Nothobranchius furzeri: one gene and its partners. Each later gene encodes a partner of the first gene's protein in a complex. Links are inferred from orthologs where the notes say so. Each region holds a gene or a part of one and is shown in the gene's direction. Other genes may lie near its edges. The genes, in order: eif4e2, gigyf1a, eukaryotic translation initiation factor 4E-binding protein 1, gigyf2 and tars1.

Region 1 (4,231 bases):
TTCTGTGGGCTGAGCTGCTAATGAAGTATGACAGGACCGACTGGTGTAAACAAACAGCGGCCACTGAAGAATACCGCCACTGCTCTTTCTCATTCACTCACTGGTGCGACTGCCGGCCCAGAACAAAGAGTCCTCTCATGAAGGTCCTCACAGAAACACAGGGAGCAAGGGGTGAGGGTATGGTCTGCAACTGCGGAGCCAACCAAACCACGCCATGCCATACCATCCTAGAGCATCCTGTTCACCACCACACCATCCCCCCACCCACACATACATAATGCGTCTTATGAAGTTTGCAGTGTTGTTTCTAGACACAAGCCGGTATTTTGGTTATTTACCCACAAATCGGCTCGCATCTATAACAAAAACTGATCCAACTTGCATCAATAGAAGTCCACTTTGTTCCCATCTCACCCTCCACCTCCTCTGTGGTCCCCCAGACTTTGTCCAGAGCTCTGCTTGGACCTGAACAGAGCCACGGTTTGAAGTCGCCGCAAGAACAGAGGGCAAGCGAAGGGATGAAACAAGTACTGCGGCACATCAGAGGATGTGAGTTCAAACAAAGAGGCCGTCGGTTCTCTGTGTTGCGGCTGCACATGTGCTGTTGTGTGTATGTGGGTGTCTGCTCGTAGCCGTCCATATCCGTGAGCTGAAGTCACCAGGTTCCTAGTCACTCAAGCCGGGAGGAGCAGATTTTGACAAAGCTGTAAAAAAGTGATCCGAGTGGTACTTTTTCTTATTTATTATGCTTGAAAATATCAACATGTGGTGAATAAAATGTTCAAACGTAACTTGGATTTGATGTTGTGTTTCTGCACCAGGGTCACAGCTGTGCAAACGTTTTCAGCTACAACTGTCTTACACTTCAGAGGAGCCAGGTGTTTTGTAAAGTTATACATCTGATTAGTTATTTTTAAACTTTGGCTGAATTTTCACTCACTTTTAGTTTACTCTGCATATTGTGCTTCTTCCTGAAAAACAGGAAAATGGTAATGAAAAAGACTAATGATCACATTTAAGAAGTTACTTAAATAGAACATGTAATATATTTTTTCAAGGATGTAAAAGTTGCAAAGCTCTGTTACAGAAGGACATGAGAGATGGATCATCTATGACAATTTTACATAATCTGTCAATTCTGTTCATGCTAAAAGTCATTTTATGTGTGAACTGTTTTGGGGAGATATTTTTATAGTTTTACCTAAATAAATAGGATTACACGAACGTCATATGACTTGTTGCAATTGAGACTCATTTACTGGTTCATCCCTTGAGTTTGGAAATATTTAATTACTGAATAGTTCAGTGATGAGTGCCAAGGTCCAAGAACACACTTTAGGAAAACCGACTAATCTCATTCAAGCCACTTAAAATATAACTTTTGGACAACACTACATTTGACAGCAGCGCGTGCCACCTGCTGACTTCTTTTCCGATTCCGACTCATCACTGCGTGCGCGTTCATGTGTGTAAGATGTGCGTCGCCGTTCCTGCGGAACTCAGGAGGCAGAATTTGGACTCCGACAGACTCCTGACTAAAAAATAATGAACAACAAATTTGACGCGTGAGTTAAGGCTTTATATTTGATTATGTGGCATCGCACGACCTTCCCGTTGTTTTAAACAACTCAGAGAAAGCTAGAACGTTAATGAAAGCTGAATTGTGCGTTAAATGAGAGGTGTGTCAGGTTTATAGCATGGTAGTTCGATATGCCGTTGGCTGAGGTGGACAACTTACGTTCACTTTAGCGAGTGGATTTTTCATAAAATATAGTGATATTTTAAATAAGTAAAGGTTTTGATACAAATAATTGTCTTGTGAGTGTGTGTGCTTTTAGCTTAGCATGTCTGAAAGCGGGTAGGCCGCTAATCCCCGGTGTGTGAGTAGTTGGGACGCCGGAGGAGGTGCACACAGAATCGACTAGAACCAGATTCCCACGGCCTTCATCACGAGCACAGACGGGAGCAAATTCTGACTTTTTACTGCTAAAAGTGATGATACCGGTGCTGTTTTTGTGTGATTCTTAATTGGGGTTAATTTAAAATAAATAAATAAAATTTCAAGATTTAAGACGTAAAGTTTTTTAAATAGCGTTGTTTTGACGTGGGTCTTTGAGGCCAGCTGGTTAGTTTTGATCCTTTTTTTTTTTTTTTACATATTTAGATATTATCATTTATCATGATAATCTAGAGTTAACTGCACTTGGCTTTACATTAAAGTGTCTTCTGACAGACGTATGAATATCTGATGGTTTGTGTCTAATCCAGGCTGAAAGACGATGACAGTGGAGATCATGAGCAGGATCAGGGATCACCGAAAGACAGCGAAAAGGAAAAGATCGAAGACGATGACAAGGAGCAAATTATTATCAAGAAAAAAGTATGGCTGATTACAGAGCATTGTTTCTACTGTAGATAAATATGCTCCTGTATTTACATTTGTCCATGTCCTTTACAGATGGTGGTTCCAGGGGCAGGAGAGCACCCTCTTCAGTACAACTACACCTTCTGGTACTCCAGGCGGACCCCAGGCAGACCAGCTAGCACCCAGAGCTATGAGCAGAACATCAAACAGATTGGCAGCTTTGCCTCGGTAAAGGACTTTTGTTTATACTTCAGCTTCAGCTGTTTCATGTTCACATATTTAATTTTGTGGCTTATTCTTGTCAAGGTGGAGCAGTTCTGGCGTTTCTACAGTCACATGATCAGGCCTGGTGATCTGACAGGTCATAGTGACTTCCACCTCTTCAAAGAAGGCATTAAACCCATGTGGGAAGTAGGTGTCTGTCGCAGTAATTGTATACTTTAGTAGAACGTTTTTTGTTTTCTGTGTACTAAGGCGTATTTGAAACCCCTTGCATGTTTAGGATGATGCCAATAAAATGGGTGGAAAGTGGATCATTCGTTTAAGGAAAGGCCTCGCGTCCCGATGTTGGGAGAACCTGATTCTGGCCATGCTGGGGGAGCAGTTCATGGTAGGGGAGGAGATCTGTGGGGCGGTGGTGTCGGTACGATTCCAGGTAAATCAAATAACACAATGTTGTATGTAACTGCTGGATCCCATTGCACTGAAACGTCTTTTTATGTACTTCATTTTATTCAGGAGGACATCATTTCTATCTGGAACAAAACAGCTAGTGACCAAGCGACCACAGCCCGCATCAGAGACACCCTACGTAGAGTCCTCAACCTGCCTCCCAACACCATCATGGAGTACAAGACTCACACAGACAGCATTAAGTATGTAGGTGTAGCAATTAAAACATTCTAATTACGACCAATAAGATGTGATGATTCCATATAAAAATGAAATATCAATCTGATTGATCTTTGAATATTTAATCAGAAGATTCTAGGGTCCTTTGCCTCTTTAGGGACCATGATCACACTTCGTATCAATTCAGACAGAGTCGGGTATATAGTTTATAAAATTAATTTAATTATTTTTCCTAAACTAACAATTTATACATGACAAGATATGAATAATGAGATGTGTTGTGATGGAAGCTAGATGTTGTAGCAACCATTCTTTGTATCTGAGAGAAATTGCAAAATCTGGATGTAAAATAATTAGTTGTTTGGTTATAACTAGAGTTCAATTCAATTCAAAAATACTTTATTATTCCCAGAGGGAAATTGATTTCTGTAGTAGCTCAGAATAATAATAATAATCAAGTCATCAAAGAGTATATCACAATGGCTGTTGGCAGGAAGGATCTCCAGTAGCGGTCAGTATTGCAGCGAAGCTGAAGAAGCCTCTGACTGAAGACACCCTTCCGTTGTCTGACAGTCTTGTGAAGAGAATGCTCAGGGTTGTCCATAATTTTCTTGATTCTCTGGAGAATCCTTCTTTGCATTATCTCCTCCAGCGGTTCCACAGTCATCGCCAGAACAGAACCAGCCTTTTTTATTAGGCTGTTGAGCCTTTTCAGGTCCCTGCTTCTGATGCTACTACCCCAACAGATGATGGCTGAAGAGATTACACTCTCAACAACAGACTTGTAGAAGATCTGTAGCATCTTGCTACAGACATTGAAGCATCCTCAAGAAGTGCAGTCTGCTGTGTCCCTTCTTGTAAACAGCTTGGTTGTTCTTTCTCCAGTCCAGTCTGTTGTCCAGGTGAACTCCAAGGTATTTGTGTTCCTCAACTACCTCCACTTCTTCTCCCATGATGGAAACAGTGTTTGACTCCACCCTGTTTCTTCTGAAGTCTAAAATCATCTCCTTTGTT
Region 2 (4,096 bases), on another chromosome or scaffold:
AAACATATGCATCCTTAAAGCTGGAGCTACTGAAGAACTAGAAGACTGTCCATTGGAAAATGTAGGTCATATATGAATAAAAAATAACTCAATTACACAATAAAGGTTTTTCTATACAGCCTATCCTGTATGTGTGTTTCTCTCCATCTAGTGAAACGCAGCTGCAGTCAGACACAGACAGTATAAGCAGCAGAGGAGCAGAGTGGATCTATTGGCTGGTTACTGAACTTATCTGATCCAACAGTTTGTGCAGCCACACGTCTCCTAGATTGGTTATAGTAATGGAAAAACTTCTAAAACCTTAATATATCTCCCAGTGGTTGCTAGGGTTTGCATAAGGGCTCTACTGTGGGTCACAGAATAGGAGGTTTTACATTTAAGATAATATCCTGAAAAGAGAGTTTCTTGATGCATATTTTTCACCAAAATTGATGTAAAATCTAAAGAAATTGCATAATTAGGGTTAGGATATTAGGGCTGTAAACATTCACAAAAAGTAAAAATGCTTGAGATTTATGTTTTATTTTTAAAAATTAAATCTCTAACATTTAATTTTGGGGATCAAAGTCTAAATCATCTGGGCAACACAGGACATGTTAGGTATTTCCAGTGATGTGGATGAAAACTGTTCATAATGTTTATATACTTCAATTTCAGTATTTGTTCTTATTACTTGTGGACTTCACTGACATAATTTTTTTTCTTAAATAAGTTTTTAAAAATCACCTTTTTTTGACTGTATAGCATGATATTAAAAATGCAAACGATTGGATCCTGCACAAGGTTCGAGCTGCACAAGGGTCTTATAATAGTCATTTTCTTTTTCACATTCACTTTTAGAAAATAAAAGTCACAACATTTTACAATAAATTAGGGTTGAATGCATTATGCTTTTACTTCATTTTAAACCATTACTTTTTGCATTATTATTTTACTGCCAAACTGCGCTCTCTTGTGTACAAAGAGTGGATCACACTGCACATGCACAGTTCGGTGAGCTGTAAAACTTGCAGAAACCTCATAAATTATTAAAATATTATATTGTTTATTACAGTCGTGACGCTTCTTGGTAAAATAGTTTGTTATTACAAAAATACATTTGTTAATTATGTTTATTCCAGTGTTCCAAAACTGTCTCAGGAGCGTGTTTATTATAAAGCAACGCGGCCCCACTTTATTGCACGCGCTCATTAAACTGGCTAATTAAGCCACGTCGAGCTAAAACGGAACAGGAGAGTCCTCGCTGGTAAAAATAGGGGTGTGTTTGCTCTGCTCCTGCATTGGTTGCCCGCTTGGCAATGCGCGGTCACGTGGTATCACAAGGACGGCCATGTTTCCGAAACACAAACAACAAGAAGAGAAGGAGCGACTCGGAGCAGCAGACACACATTGATACGCAGCAGCGACCGTTGGAGGAGAAGAGTGAGCGCGAGAGGAAACCTAATAACCACACCGCAGATTTTCCTGAAAGTACTATTCTGTCGAATGAATACGTTTACAGTGTTTAAAGAGACCAATGCATACCATATATTGGCTGTAGGCACGCCGTGCGGACATAAACACAAGGTAAGCGAGCAAGGGTTCCTCTTTGCAGCTGGCTAGCGTACGAGCTAACATGCTAATCTCGGCTCGTTTAGCTCGATTCGTCCACGGTGAAAAAAAAACAACGGTTAAATAACCGTTTTACAACTAAAAACTACACCAATTTATGGATTTACTCGTCTTGTTCCAAATGCATTAAACTAAAGTATTTCATAGTGAGGACAGCCGCGGTGGTGGTAGTCCGCTCAACGGTGGAGCAGGCCGGGGAGTCTCCTTCCCAACCATCCGCCCCCTCCGCCATCATATCTGGTGTCACTTGAACCATCACGCCAAGGCCTTAGCGATCCAGCGCATACCTGAGTGCTAGTTTAGGTGGTAAACCGTGTCTGTTGAGCAACTGAATCATGTTTACAGACGCCTCTAACAGTTAGCTGTACGCCTACTACGGAGAAATCTGCTGCTATTAGCTTATAACAGCAACAGTAGCGCAAATGTAGCTTGTTAGCTTCCACTTAAGCTTTTCAGTGTTTTTCAGTTTTAGGTTGTTCTCGGTGAAAGCTGCTTGTAGCCGAGGTTCATTTAAAGAATATAAAGGGTTTTAGCAGATAACATGTGCAGTGTGTTCACTCTGCTTGATGACCTTGCTTTAGCTTTATTGTTAAACTTTTTATCTCTGATATGAGTTGACCTCAATGTGGTGAATGGGTTTTATGGTTGTGTGTTTAAAATTTGGTTTGCAGCTTTAAAAGCTGGATTTTATTGTAATGTTTCTGCTTTAAATCATGATAATTTGTTATTTAATTTGCTACCGTTAAGCACTTAGCAAATACCAATTTTCACAAGTGGACAATTATTTTTTTATGTGTCTGGTATTAATGGGGTTTGATTCATTTTAAGCTTGTTTTACTATCATGTTCTTTATCATATTTTGTACTCTGTATTGGGTCTTTTGACCTTTCCCACACATTTATTACAAATAACATCACATCCAAAGTTGTTACATGAGGACACCTCACAGATTTGGTTGCAGAAAGCTGGTGTGGATCTCCTTCAAATTTAAGTCACTCTGGTCACGTAAATATTAACCAGCTTTTAAATCCGTATTTGGTTATTTAAACTATTTTTAGAGGATTTCTTTCATATATATAAGCAATATTTAAAACTTAATTTTGTATTTTTACTGAATAAATAATAAATAAATCACAAAAAATTGCTACTTCCACGTAACGAGGGAATTATTTTTGTTTGGAAAAGTCCCAAAGAAGACAGTTTGTCTTTATTAACACTATTAAACACTAGGAATAATATAAGGGTAGAACAAGTTCTGAATCTTTTTGTATTAGTCTCGTAGGATTTAAAGCTTCTTTCCGGAGTATTTCTCTTATCCGATGGCACCATCTAGTGGCTGACAAGCACATCACACAAAAACTCTGTTCCTCTTTGTTTTTTTTAAAGATGGCGGCTTCACGTTTCTGTTTATAAATGTGTTTCTGTAGCCGACAAGCAGAGCTAAACACGTTGTTTTACGAGTATCATTCTCATGTCATGTTGTGTTCTCATACATTTATATTTTAGAGACGTAATTGTCCGTGAAAAGTTCATCAACTCAAAAAATTTAAAGGACGTATTGCTTACATTATATCACAGTACATGATAAGACAATCACTTTCACGGATTTCTGACAAATCATACATAATTTCTGAAAGGGGGAAAACTCCGGAAAGCAGCTTTAAGGTCAGAATTAGCTGGAAATTATGATTTGAAATGGTTGAATGAAGCCGCAGGGGTGGACATTAACTTCAAAACCAACCGGCCAGCCGGGCCGGTAACTCTGAATATTTACCGGCCCTGCCAAGAATCTACCGGCCCCACTGGTCAGCCGCCAAAACGAGTCAAAATAACAACTGAACCGTTTTAAATGTAACAAACCTTTATTTTGTACACATTCACAAACATAATAACGTATTCAAGTTTGAATTTGTTTGTTCCCTCAACAAAACACGATTTTGTCGTCGCATACTTCTGGCATACAACGCAGTACATCACCAACGCCGCTTTGCTGTATTCAAGCCATTGACTGTGTTCGAGATGAGCCAGTTCTGCGCAGAGTAGACCAGCAGTGATCGGCGAGCGGTGCATGCCGGTTAGATTTGTGTCCGAATTGACCTGACTTGCTCTGACGTCATGCATACGTAGGCATCGATAACCTCGTGAGATCAAGGCGGTCGCAGATTTTGGAGCAAGGCGCTGCAGTTGCTCTCTACCGGCTGCAAAACCTAGAGGATGATGGGAAACGCCTGGCTCTCACCTGATCTAAGATCTGATTGGTTCACATTTTGATCCAAACATCCGGTGGTAGAACATGAAATGTTAGTTGTTCACATGTATTATGTAAATCATGTTATGTTGATGATGACAACTATATAGGCCATAAGGAGAAATGTGTTTTGTGTTCTTTTGTCACGTTTCCTATGAGCACACTGAACAGCTGATAACCTTTACTTATTATTACAGTCATGTTTTCATATAGAATATATGATATCCACAAGCGCGT
Region 3 (3,993 bases), on another chromosome or scaffold:
TTGAAGACATTATTAATAGCATATTACTCGATACTAAGGAATGCAACTGCGCACATGCACAAAAAGTTTTTAATATAAAAATGGCTATATATATGAAACATACAAATATATATATTTACTTAGAATGCTATGCACCCCTGTCAACTGGGATTCCTGTTATGTTATGGATGTCCTTTTTGCATCATACAGCTGTAGCTACTAAGAGACTTTTAAGTTTGGGTAATGCCTGCAACCTGGGGATAAATAGGGGTTTTGTGGGTGTTTTAACTTATTTTGTTTGCTTTTTTATTGTCATGGAGAGTCAAACATAAAATATACATGTGAAAACCTTTTAATCCAATCAAAATCTGAGGGCATCTGTTGACAATTTACTCTGTACACCAGCTCAACATTTACAAAAATTAATAAAGAAATGAAACATCTTTGCGTATTGCGTGTAATTTTTTTCATGTCTTTAAATGACGTTTCTTGACTTTGAAGTGTGTTTTTTCCTGACTGACACAGTGAGTAGATCTTCGCTCGTTTAACCATCCTGCCAGGAGATGCATCAAGCTTTGGGGGAAGTCTGTTATAGACGTGCTGCAAAAAAGAAACATGAATTCAAAGAAATTCATGAAATCTGAATCTGATTTAAAAGCTTCTCTTTGTGTTATTAAAACTTGTGAAGTTATAGATCTAACATCTCAGAGCTAGGAATGTGGTCAGAATAAATAAAACAATTATGTAAGGGCTTTTAAAAGCAAATTGTATTGAAAATACATTAAAATGCCGAAGAAACACACACACACACACACACCTGAATAAATTCAATAATTATATTTGAGCAGAAGATGACAGCAGGATTTACTTACTGATTTTGCTCCTTTTAAATAAATCATCTGTCAACTTGACATGATTTAAAATCATTTCGGAGGCGGACTAGAATAAGGCAATCTTCTTGTTGAAAGCATAATAACGCAATATAACGTTCCTTAAAAGGTGAAAATCTGGAACAGTGTCTGCAGATTTTGTATTTAAGAAAATTTTCAAATAGAATGAGGTGAAAATAAATACATAGTTTTTTAAAAATAATAATAATAATTATTATTATTATTTTAATCTCTGTAGCCTAGTATGCACCAGTAGATGGCGGAATAAATTCGTTTAGTTTGCACCGAACAGCGTTCTCCCTACAGGGCTGCAGCAGCCTGTCTGTATGCCTTGATGGTCTGCCTGCGTATGTCTGTGTGTTGTTTTGTGTGCATGTGGAAACAGAGAAACGGGTGCTGCTGAGGTCCTTTTTCACCAAACATCCTCGACCCGTTTTGAGTGAGAGCGCGTGTGTTAATGTGGCTAACTTTAATCGCCATAGTTTGCACTCATGAAATCTAGATATTTATTTTTATTCATCAGAAGGCGACCGTTCTGCTGCTGAGCCAAATCTAACACTCCTCTGGCTTTGTTCTGTCAAACCCAGACGTTCTTCTTGTTTCATGTCATCCAGTTAGTTACTTTTAATTTTTTAGTTGAGAGAAGATGTCCACAGACTTTCAGAAGACAAATGCCAAGGCCATCCCGTCCACCAGGACAGTGGCCGTCAACGAAGCGGACCACATGCCACACGACTACTCCACTACTCCCGGGGGGACCCTTTTTAGCACCACACCGGGCGGTACGTTGTGTGTTTTTAACTCCACATTAACGTTTGTGTGCTTGGTCAAAAGGTCAGTGGCACGAGACCTGAATCCATTTAACAGCAGCGTTGTTGCGTGTGTTCATGCTAACTCCATGAGGTCGGCTTGGCTGCTGTCATCTGATAGCTAGCTATACTGAAGCTAACCGCTAACGCTAACTAGCGATCATTGAAAAAACAGAATAGTGAAAAACTAAAAAGTGGCTTTGAGGCATATGACCAATGTCGTTTTGTAAATGTAATTTTGCAACACAATAACTAATTTTCAATTAAGTGAAAATCGTTTTTAGGGTTTTACTTTGACTTCTGTACATCTTGTCACTGGGATCTGAGTCACGTGATCAAATCGGTGCTCTTGAGTTTATTGGCGGTGACCTAACCAGTTTAAAAGCCCATTACGACCACCTACTGGACTGGAATTTGGGATCAGATGCAGCAAAAGAAAAAAATCCAGTGGTGGGCCTAGAAAAACATGTACGGGGTGGCAGAAGGGGGCAAAATTTTGAGGATGGTAAAATGGAGCATAAATTACTATACTCTTTGGGCACACAAAAGCTTTTGAACTAAACTATCCATTAAAAATGTGTCTGTGAATTCCTATGCACTGAGCTGTACCAAGGTCAGCATAGATGCACTATATGGAAAGAAATAATAATAACAATAATGGATTGGATTTATACAGTGCTTTTCTTGGAACTCAAAGCGCATTCCATTAAAGTCCCATTAGTCATCATCACACGCTGGTGAAATGACATCTCCGTATTTGACCCATCCTCATGGGGAACGGTGAGCTGTAGCAGTGGCTGCACTCGGGAACTATTTGGTGGTTAAAGATGAGTGTCTAGCAGGGAGGCATTGGGTCCCATTTTTAACTCATTCACTGCCAATAGTCGTCATTGGAATTTTTTTACTGTGTGGGCATTGGAACGAGTCCCCGCGCCGAGAAGCAAACGTCTCAGCTCTGAAGCTGATCTTCATCCGCATACGTCACAGGTCACATGACCAGGAAGCAGAAAATCCATGTGTTAGGAGATCGGTTTGGGTTGTTCCTTTAAAAAAAAAAACATGAGGCGCGAACCGGAAAAGCGTCTGCCGATCACAATTCGACAACGAATTATGAAAGAATGGATAACGCTTGAAACACGCGGATTCTTCCTGATCTAAGAGGTGAGTCTCCTCTTTGTTTTGGTTGTTTTGGCGTCGACATCATCCTAGCGCGCAACGTTCTGTGACTCTTAAAAAACAGTAAAAATGGCGAGAAATGCTGGCAGTGAAGGTCTTCAGCGATCAGGAAATGGCTGGCAGTGAATGAGTTAAAGTCTTTGGGATAACCCGATGAACCACGATCTCCCAGTTCCAGTGCGGACACTCTTACCACTAGGCCACTCAGAAGGTTATATTGTTCACACTCTCACGTTCACACTGCCGGGGATGGTAAGCTACGATGTAGCCACAGCCACTCTGGAGTGGGCTGGCATTTTGTGCCACCACCAACACAATGTTTCACTGCAACAAGGTACTAAACTTTAGTTTTATTATTCACTCAAACACATTTCTTTCCCTGTTAATTCATCAGTATTTACATAACCATATATGTTTTTTTTATTTCAGGTCATTATTTTATCAGCTTGTGTCATGATCGGTGTAATCGGACATGCTACTTTCACATTCATAATGTCTGATTTGCCACAACTATTTCATGAATTATTGCTGCCTTCTTCTGAGGTGGCAAAACTTTCCTTTAGGGAGGCAGTTGCCACCCCAGTAGATCAGCCCCTGAATAAATCCAACAAAACTAGATTTTTTTTTAAATCTGACAGATTGTTTATTTTAAGAGTTTAATGAGGTCAGAGCTGTTACTGCTTTGCCAAAGAGGCTTCATTGTTTAACTGACATTGTGATTAAAACTAGGGATGCACCGATACCTCTTTTTTCCAAACCGATACGATACCGATACTTGGATCTGGGTACTTGCCGCTGCCGATTACTGATACCGATACTTCCACCACACAAAAAAATGCAATGATATGGAATACAGATTTTATTTTCTTCTCTGCTTTCAACAGGAAAAGACTGTGAGGTAAATAAAAAGTAAAATATATGAATGGAAATCATCACAAAACTAAAATATTAGGTGAACAGAAATGACAAGTTACAGTGAAGCCATTTTCAAGCAACTGCATTGGTATCGGTTCCTGGTATCGGTTAACTTTCACTGATACCGATACTGGTATCGGTACCGATGCCAGTATCGGTATCGGTGCATCCCTAATTAAAACAGACCTGTTATTTATTTATTTCAGATTTACGTTAATAACACA
Region 4 (3,511 bases), about 2.9 Mb from region 1:
ACGTAGAGCACAAACAATTTTTGTCAACATTTTTCCAAACCATATCAGCACCAGAGGAAGGCGTGTGCCATAAGAGACGACTATTGTTTTTAACAGCTTAAAATTCCATTTCATTTATAAACAGACTGTGTGCATTTTTTTTATGCACCTTTCATATATTTTGCACCGTTTTATATGCATGGTGGCTCGGTGGGTCCCCTCAGTTGCATTGCACCTTCACGAACTTCGTGAATCATCCTTCGTCGAAGGATGATTCAGCTCTTTTTTTATTCAAAATAAATAAGGATTAGGCTGGTACAGTATCAGGATTCAGCTTTTATCCAAACTTTTGAATTTTATCATTTGATGTATTTCATCTTTTGATTTCAGGGCGGGGAAGAGGAGACGGAGGGTTTTACCAAAGAAGTTTTGATGACGTTGAAGGTTTTGGTCGCGGAGGAAGGGAAATGCACCGTTCTCAAAGCTGGGAGGAACGGTATTGGAATGAAAAAATGTGATAAATCCAGATCTTTTCCTGATATTGCACATATCTCTTCTATATATTTTTAGTCAAGACTAAACGTTTCTTTTTTTTCCCCATTTATTAGGGGGGACCGACGATTTGAAAAGCCAGGTCGAAAGGACCCAGGTTGGTGTCACATTTTGTTGTGAAAACAGAAAAAAAAATCAATACTCAAACATTTTTTTGGGCAAGTTGGCCAGCTCACCTGTTTGCTCTTCTCTGTCGTTGTAGCTGATGTTGCTCCGGGGCATTTTCAGATCAATCACAGTGAGTTAAAAAGCATTCCTCTGAAAGTTCTGGGTTCTTAGCCAAATCATGCCATCATTTACATCATATAGATGTTAAAATGTTAATTCCCTGGGGTTTCTCATCCTAACGGCACCCCCCACTCCATCACCTGGTGTTCTAATGTGGTGTTTTTACAGTTCGAGGCCCATATGAGGACGGAGGGACAGGACTCCCAAGGAAGCACGACTTTACGCGTTCAGAGAGTGAAAACTGGCGTACTACTCGAGACGATCAGAACGGTGAGGGTGATGAGGGGGGCTGGCGCCTGCTGGGTTCTCAATGGGAGAACGACCGGTGGTGCCCCCCGAGCCCAGGTGGGCGCTAAAAATGAAAGACAAAAGCATTACCCATACATTCATCTTGTCGAAATAATAAGTTTTGATAAGTGAAAGGGTGTGTTATCTCTTGTCTTTGTCGTGCTTCCCGTTTGGCCTAAAGGTGCTTTTTTGTTCAGCCCAAAGACTAAATGTTAGATAGACCAGTCCTCCGCCGTCACTCGTAGCTTTATGAAGAGCTGAATTAAAGCCCAGTGGGCAGTTCCCACAACCGCCATCTTGGCTGCATCACGTGTCTCATCGCTCCAGGGTAATATAATAATGGAGCTAGGGTCGAGGCTGTGGGGGTGGGGGCAGGTGGTTGACACCCAACAAACTCTGAGCTGATGAAGCTAAGAGCTAACTGAGCTAACGGAATCTAATGGAGGCTTTTGCCTTAGATTTATGTGCCTGGATTACAGCAGCTTTTCCTGGAACAGAACGCACTGCAACAAGATTTACATTCATGCAAAATGCAGAACAAACATTCAGATGATTGTGTTTACATGTGTGTTATTTCTCCCGTTGTCTGGAGTGAACATGTGGGATTTTGTTTTAGTTTTCCTTTTATGTGGCATTTTTCCCCAGATGGGCCTCGGTCAGCAGGCTGGCGGGAACTTCCGGAGCAGCGTCGACATTTTCCGTTTGATGCAAGAGAAGACGAGCGCGGCTACAGAAGGCAGAGGTCTGGCAGCGGCAGCTTGGATGACGAGAGGGACAGCTTACCCGAGTGGTGTCTAGAGGATGCAGATGAAGAGGCAGGCACATTTGACTCTTCTGGAGCCTTTCTCTCTCATAAGGTAATCAGATACTTTCCTCAAATGATTATTTAAAGATTACTGAGAAGTTTATGACAATAGTCCCCCCCCCCCCCCCACATTGTCATTTTGTAATCAGAAAGCCTCAAAGGAACCGATTCCAGAAGAAGCAGAGCTCGACTTCAGACCCTTGGAGGAGTGTGACGAAGGCCTGGAGGAGCTGGATACCCCGACCAGGGAAACCAAAGAATCAGAAAAAGAAGCCAAAAGGGAAGCAGACAGAAAAGGTCAGTAGTGTTGATAATCTGACTTTTGATTCTCTTATTGATAAATATGTTGGTATTAGATCATTTAAAGGTCAAATTCAAACTAAACCCAGTTTTCAAAATAATTCCAAGGAAGTAAAAAGATACAATAGACAAGTTTAATAGTAAAACATGTTCCTGATCATTCACACTTTATTTTAACAGGAATTGTTGCAGAATAAATGTATAATCTATATGAAAAATCATCTAAGCTAGTCTGATTCACCGCTGCGTCTCCTGAGTAATTTGAGTCACTTTTTGACCTTCATGGTGTTTCTGTTTAAGTTGGGAAACAAGTTTTTTACCCTGGTTGTTGCATCACATAAAGAAGGTGACACATTTTCTGTGTTTTTACCTCAAAAGCTGCTTGGATGTTAACATTTAAAACGGCCTATTTGAAACGATGAGATTACCTGCTGACGACAAATTTTAATCCCATCATAATCTCTGCGCTCAGGCGTTGTTTGATAGTTTGTGCTTGCAAATAAAAATTGCCGGTAGCTCAGAGAGCCAAAGGGGCAAGAGAGGAATGAGGGAGTGTCAGTAAAGGCCAAGTGAACACAAACAATAAGCTGTTATGAAGGCAACATAGTAGAGTTTAGTCATCTTTTTTGTTGGTTGGAAAGTCGCTATAAATACTTTTTTCTCTGTTGGGTAGAATCAATTTTTTCATTTAGGTTTATGTTAATAGCTAAAAAGGAAATAATTGTTTTTAAAACAGCCTTGATGTGTTTTGAAACCCTGGTAATAAACATAAACAATGTGTTTTTGTGTAAAAGTGGTGAAATGAGAGATGATCCAATCACGTGAAAATAGCCTGGAAAAGTTCTCGGTGCAGATGTACGACACAATGTCTGTTAACATTCACGGACTCATCCATTTGGCCTGTATTTGACGTAGCTCCTTCTAGAGCCCCCCAAGGCGCTTTACAACACAATCAGTGATTCACACACACATTCATACCCATTTGGCTCGTGACGGGAAGGCTGTTGATGTTGCGTCCAGGAAACGGCAGAGAACATCTCGACTAGCAGAAGCTAACTGTTAGCATTAGCAACTCCACCACACGACAGAACTCCTTGTGTTATTTGTGGAGATAAAATATCGGTGTTGCAGAGCAAACTGAGTCAGTGGTGGAGTCGTGTTGCTGTTATCCAATCAGAGGCGAGATGTCCGAATATCAGGAAATAAGACTTTGTTTGAAGCTTCTTTCTCCTCCGGCTGACTCCTCCGTCCCCAAACAGGAGTATCTGAGAATCCTTCTGTCTTCTTACTTTAATGCTTTGCTGAAAAGTGTTGGATCAGGTCTCTGTTATCAGCAGATACTTAAAGTCAAATGACTCA
Region 5 (3,511 bases), on another chromosome or scaffold:
AAAGGGTTCACAGCGTCAGTGTTATTAAAACCAGTGACTGCAAATGTCACCCGCCAACCTTTGACTGTTCATTAAAGGAAATAATTTATTAAATCGTCATGCACAAGACAAAAAAAAATCTCATTAGTTTATTAAATCTTGGTGAAGCATTGCATTAGTATTGTTCGTGTTACTCTGATATTATGGGAGAGAATTGTCAATAGAGCATTTATTATTAATGTCAGTCACATAAGATTTTTTGGGGTCTGGCGTGTTTATAAAATCATGATAAATTCTGAGTTTTATTTCTGGAATCATGCTGAAAATGTTCAGCTTAAGCAGCCCATAAACCTGGCCAATGAAAACATCCCTCAGTCTACCATCCTGACCACATTTCTTTATCATAACGCAAACAAGTTATTAAGTTAAATGGGTCTAAATTTTCTAATCGGCTTGAAAGTTTCTTAGTCTATTCATTAGTGTGTAAATATAAACATGAACCCGTATCTCTGATACATCCAATAGTAAGTGGAGCAGCCATTTTAGCTGATGTTAAAATGGTTTATTGGTGATCTTCTAATACTGACTTTAAGTATTTGTTATAAATAAGTTAACTAAGTCAAAATTACAATGAAATGTGTTTCTAAGTAAGATAATTATTAAAAAAGGAAGTAAGTTGTGTGGCTGATGCACTTTCTTCATCTTGTTTATGTGGTCGGGTCCACATGAGGTCCTCAGTCATGTTTAGTCTGAATTTCTTAGGACGTCTGACCCTTTCGACTTCGCCCCAGTGATGCAAATGGTCTGGTGTTCTCCACCAGTTCACAATTATCTCTTATCCGACATTGAGATTTAAGTTGTTGTCCAGTCATCAGTTACTCAGGGCCTTCACCTCGTCTTTATAGGTTGACTCATTATTGTACAAGATGGGGCCTAAGATGGATGTGTCATCTGCATATTGGATGATTGAATTCGTAGCATGACTAGCAACACAGTCATGGGTGAACAGGAAGTACAGTTGGGGACTGAACACACAGCCCTGTGGTGTTCCAGTGTTTAAGACACGTAAGGAGAGGTGTGATATTTTTCTGATGTGTAGTTTGTCGTATTTCTTGTGCAGTCAAGGCCTTGCTGACAACACGGTGATTGCCAAAGTAAACAACAGTGTGTGGGACCTGGACAGACCTTTGGAAGACGACTGTAGCCTTCAGTTGCTCAAGTTTGATGATGAGGAGGCTCAAGCTGTAAGTTCATCTCGTTTTTTATCACACTTTAGGTTTAGGAAATATTGTTGGGTGAATGAGGATCAAAACCATACCGCCTTTTTGTTTTTCATCAAATGAATAAAACATTGATGTAATACAACATTAGGCTTAAACCATTGTTGGGTTATTAATTAGAAGCACCAATGCTAAGAAAATCCTAGATTGTTCGACTTAATGATGCGTTTGTGTTTTCTTTAGGTTTACTGGCACTCCAGTGCTCATATTCTTGGTGAAGCGATGGAGAAGGTGTACGGAGGCTGCCTGTGCTACGGTCCTCCAATCGAGAGTGGCTTCTACTACGACATGTTTCTAGAAAACAATGAGTGAGTTTCAAAGACTGTGGGTTGATCCACACGTTTTCATTCCTTGGGCGTGCTTTTGGGCGTAACAGGCGTCTAACAGGTTCTTTTACATTGCTCCATAATATGAACTAAAAAATAACCGAACGTTATAAAACCATTGGCCTCCAGGTGGATCTTCTCACAGGTGTGGACTTAAAATGTTCATTTTTTATGGTATATTGGTGACACAGGGTGTTTATTGGCAAAGATCTGGCGATGCGACATAAATCACAAACCAGGGGAGAGGATATCGCCAGATCTTGTCCTGTCAGAATGAAGGTGGTAAAAACTGCTGCCACCTAGCAGTGAGACGTTGAATTACACCTCACAAAAAGAAATACGTATATGTTTGCATTTAAATTCTCCAAATCGACACACTGCTTTTAAATATCAAATCCGTATCATAATAGGAGATATTGTGATATTTCAGCGTATTTTCTTACATCCCGACTGGTAACGAATGTTTCCTTGGATTTTTTTTCACACCTTTGTTCCAGCTTTGAGAGCTTGGGCAGTGCTGTCTCTTTTATTCTACAGCCTACATAATGAAGTTGTTTTATGCTAATGGCGTTCCTAGGGACTGTTGTAGCAAGGATATTTTGGCATTGCTTAAGCCCTAAAGCCAACGACTTCAACTGTCTGACCTTTCTTGGCGATTAAGTTAAAGGTCATGGGCGTGAAGCTCTTTGGAGACGGAGGCAGAACTTACTAAGAGGTGGAGAAAATGTTTTTAACTGAAAAAGCTATGCTGCACGTACCGTTACTATTATTATTACCTCTTCTTGTGTGGGACAGCGGCGTATCGAGCAACGACTTTCCCTATCTGGAGAACTTGTGCAAAAAAATCATCAAAGAGAAGCAGCCGTTCGAAAGGCTGGAAATAAAGAAGGAAACTCTGCTGGAGATGTTCAAGGTATTATTAAACACGTATGAGTGATAACTAAAGATAATCGCAGTAAAATGTAATGATTGATTTACCCGTTTCAGTACAACAAGTTTAAGTGCCGCATTCTGAAGGAGAAAGTCACCACCCCGACGACCACGGTTTACAGGTGAGTCCGAGGCAGGAAAAACAACAGCTGCTCGCTTGTTTCATCTTCATCCAACAAACTCTCAGACATTTTGTCTTTTCAGATGCGGTCCCTTAATTGATTTGTGCCGGGGGCCTCATGTGAGACACACCGGAAAGATCAAGTCACTTAAAATCCACAAGGTTAGCGTGCGCTTCGCTGTGCACGTTGTTGCTGCACGCACTCAGTTTGTTCCCACGTTTGCAGGCAGCAGATTCACTCTTGTGTTCTAATCTCAGAGGATTTGATGGACTTTAAAGAACAATGAAAAGTTGTTTTTCCTCTGCGCTGCGCTAGAACTCGTCGACCTACTGGGAGGGAAAGGCAGACATGGAAACCCTCCAGAGGATCTACGGCATCTCCTTCCCCGACCCTAAAATGCTCAAAGAGTGGGAGAAGTTTCAGGAGGAGGCCAAGAACAGAGATCACCGCAAACTGGGCCGGGTAGGAGCTGAGATGTAGACAGGTTTAAAGCAGCCACCCGCAGGGTTTGCACCTGTGAGTCATTTATGGTATGTTGGTGTTTTCTGAGCTAAGGTGCATTTTTAATACTTGCAGAATAAATGCATTATGGGTAATACTTTAGTTTAGGCAACACAAATTAACCATTAATTAGCTGCCAATTAATATGCATATTAGTGGACTACTAAGTTAGAATTGGTCATTATTAAGCTATTATTAGGTGCTTATTACTAATGCTGTAATTCTAACATTAACAGGCCATAAATTAAGAGTTTCATCATAATAAGCCATTCATAATGGTTTGTTAAGTGAAAGTAAACGGTTTGTAGCTGATTAACGCACATATTAAGTAGCTCAAATCAATACGTGGCTTTTAAAGAAGTAATTCAAGGGG

Evidence for each region.
Region 2: the proteins of eif4e2 (region 1) and gigyf1a are in contact, whole or in part, in a crystal structure (PDB 5NVK), measured with the Homo sapiens proteins. The link is inferred for Nothobranchius furzeri from reciprocal best matches to the Homo sapiens genes EIF4E2 and GIGYF1. Residues at the interface, in NP_004837.1 of Homo sapiens: His54, Pro55, Leu56, Gln57, Tyr64, Lys83, Gln84, Ile85, Gly86, Val91, Glu92, Trp95, Arg96, Phe97, Tyr98, Ser99, His100, Met101, Val102, Arg103, Leu107, Phe113, Ile137, Arg138, Leu139, Arg140, Gly142, Leu143, Ser145, Arg146; in NP_001362694.1 of Homo sapiens: Leu36, Ala37, Asp38, Tyr39, Arg40, Tyr41, Gly42, Arg43, Met46, Leu47, Leu49, Tyr50, Glu53, Asn54, Lys55, Val56, Pro57, Glu59, Leu60, Glu64, Phe65, Ala67, Val68, Leu69, Gln70, Asp71, Glu72, Pro73, Leu74, Gln75.
Region 3: the proteins of eif4e2 (region 1) and eukaryotic translation initiation factor 4E-binding protein 1 are in contact, whole or in part, in a crystal structure (PDB 5NVN), measured with the Homo sapiens proteins. The link is inferred for Nothobranchius furzeri from reciprocal best matches to the Homo sapiens genes EIF4E2 and EIF4EBP1. Residues at the interface, in NP_004837.1 of Homo sapiens: Glu53, His54, Pro55, Leu56, Gln57, Tyr58, Tyr64, Arg66, Lys83, Gln84, Ile85, Gly86, Val91, Glu92, Gln93, Trp95, Arg96, Phe97, Ser99, His100, Met101, Val102, Leu107, Phe113, Glu149, Asn150, Leu153, Gly157, Glu158, Gln159; in NP_004086.1 of Homo sapiens: Arg51, Ile52, Ile53, Tyr54, Asp55, Arg56, Phe58, Leu59, Met60, Cys62, Arg63, Ser65, Val67, Thr68, Lys69, Thr70, Pro71, Pro72, Asp74, Leu75, Pro76, Ile78, Pro79, Gly80, Val81, Thr82, Ser83.
Region 4: the proteins of eif4e2 (region 1) and gigyf2 are in contact, whole or in part, in a crystal structure (PDB 5NVM), measured with the Homo sapiens proteins. The link is inferred for Nothobranchius furzeri from reciprocal best matches to the Homo sapiens genes EIF4E2 and GIGYF2. Residues at the interface, in NP_004837.1 of Homo sapiens: His54, Pro55, Leu56, Gln57, Tyr64, Arg66, Asn81, Lys83, Gln84, Ile85, Gly86, Thr87, Val91, Glu92, Phe94, Trp95, Arg96, Phe97, Ser99, His100, Met101, Val102, Leu107, Phe113, Glu149, Asn150, Leu153, Leu156, Gly157, Glu158; in NP_001096616.1 of Homo sapiens: Leu38, Ala39, Asp40, Tyr41, Arg42, Tyr43, Gly44, Arg45, Met48, Leu49, Leu51, Phe52, Leu53, Asn56, Lys57, Ile58, Pro59, Asp61, Leu62, Asp64, Glu66, Phe67, Pro69, Ile70, Leu71, Gln72.
Region 5: the proteins of eif4e2 (region 1) and tars1 are in contact, whole or in part, in a crystal structure (PDB 5XLN), measured with the Homo sapiens proteins. The link is inferred for Nothobranchius furzeri from reciprocal best matches to the Homo sapiens genes EIF4E2 and TARS1. Residues at the interface, in NP_004837.1 of Homo sapiens: His54, Pro55, Leu56, Gln57, Val91, Glu92, Phe94, Trp95, Arg96, Glu149, Asn150, Leu153, Leu156, Gly157, Glu158, Gln159, Met161, Val203; in NP_001245366.1 of Homo sapiens: Pro51, Glu52, Tyr53, Ile54, Tyr55, Thr56, Arg57, Met60, Tyr61, Ile63, Leu64, Glu67.

Annotation. Positions count from the first base shown.
Region 1 is NC_091751.1:56,212,941-56,217,171, reverse strand, and holds the start of eif4e2 (eukaryotic translation initiation factor 4E type 2), read left to right. Parts: upstream 1-1,426; 5' UTR 1,427-1,545; coding exon 1,546-1,565; intron 1,566-2,268; coding exon 2,269-2,380; intron 2,381-2,458; coding exon 2,459-2,593; intron 2,594-2,671; coding exon 2,672-2,776; intron 2,777-2,867; coding exon 2,868-3,020; intron 3,021-3,103; coding exon 3,104-3,240; coding exon of another isoform or gene 3,241-3,244; intron 3,245-4,231. UniProt on the Homo sapiens protein: Recognizes and binds the 7-methylguanosine-containing mRNA cap during an early step in the initiation. Acts as a repressor of translation initiation.
Region 2 is NC_091742.1:83,853,521-83,857,616, reverse strand, and holds the start of gigyf1a (GRB10-interacting GYF protein 1), read left to right. Parts: upstream 1-1,291; 5' UTR 1,292-1,566; intron 1,567-1,581; exon of another isoform or gene 1,582-4,096. UniProt on the Homo sapiens protein: May act cooperatively with GRB10 to regulate tyrosine kinase receptor signaling. May increase IGF1 receptor phosphorylation under IGF1 stimulation as well as phosphorylation of IRS1 and SHC1.
Region 3 is NC_091757.1:46,259,649-46,263,641, reverse strand, and holds the start of eukaryotic translation initiation factor 4E-binding protein 1, read left to right. Parts: upstream 1-1,193; 5' UTR 1,194-1,515; coding exon 1,516-1,651; intron 1,652-3,993. UniProt on the Homo sapiens protein: Repressor of translation initiation that regulates EIF4E activity by preventing its assembly into the eIF4F complex: hypophosphorylated form competes with EIF4G1/EIF4G3 and strongly binds to EIF4E, leading to repress translation.
Region 4 is NC_091751.1:53,327,342-53,330,852, forward strand, and holds part of gigyf2 (GRB10-interacting GYF protein 2), read left to right. Parts: intron 1-369; coding exon 370-493; intron 494-587; coding exon 588-628; intron 629-733; coding exon 734-769; intron 770-927; coding exon 928-1,104; intron 1,105-1,692; coding exon 1,693-1,904; intron 1,905-2,001; coding exon 2,002-2,149; intron 2,150-3,511. UniProt on the Homo sapiens protein: Key component of the 4EHP-GYF2 complex, a multiprotein complex that acts as a repressor of translation initiation. In the 4EHP-GYF2 complex, acts as a factor that bridges EIF4E2 to ZFP36/TTP, linking translation repression with mRNA decay.
Region 5 is NC_091757.1:57,099,434-57,102,944, forward strand, and holds part of tars1 (threonine--tRNA ligase 1, cytoplasmic), read left to right. Parts: intron 1-1,099; coding exon 1,100-1,223; intron 1,224-1,442; coding exon 1,443-1,567; intron 1,568-2,380; coding exon 2,381-2,498; intron 2,499-2,572; coding exon 2,573-2,637; intron 2,638-2,719; coding exon 2,720-2,798; intron 2,799-2,952; coding exon 2,953-3,099; intron 3,100-3,511. UniProt on the Homo sapiens protein: Catalyzes the attachment of threonine to tRNA(Thr) in a two-step reaction: threonine is first activated by ATP to form Thr-AMP and then transferred to the acceptor end of tRNA(Thr).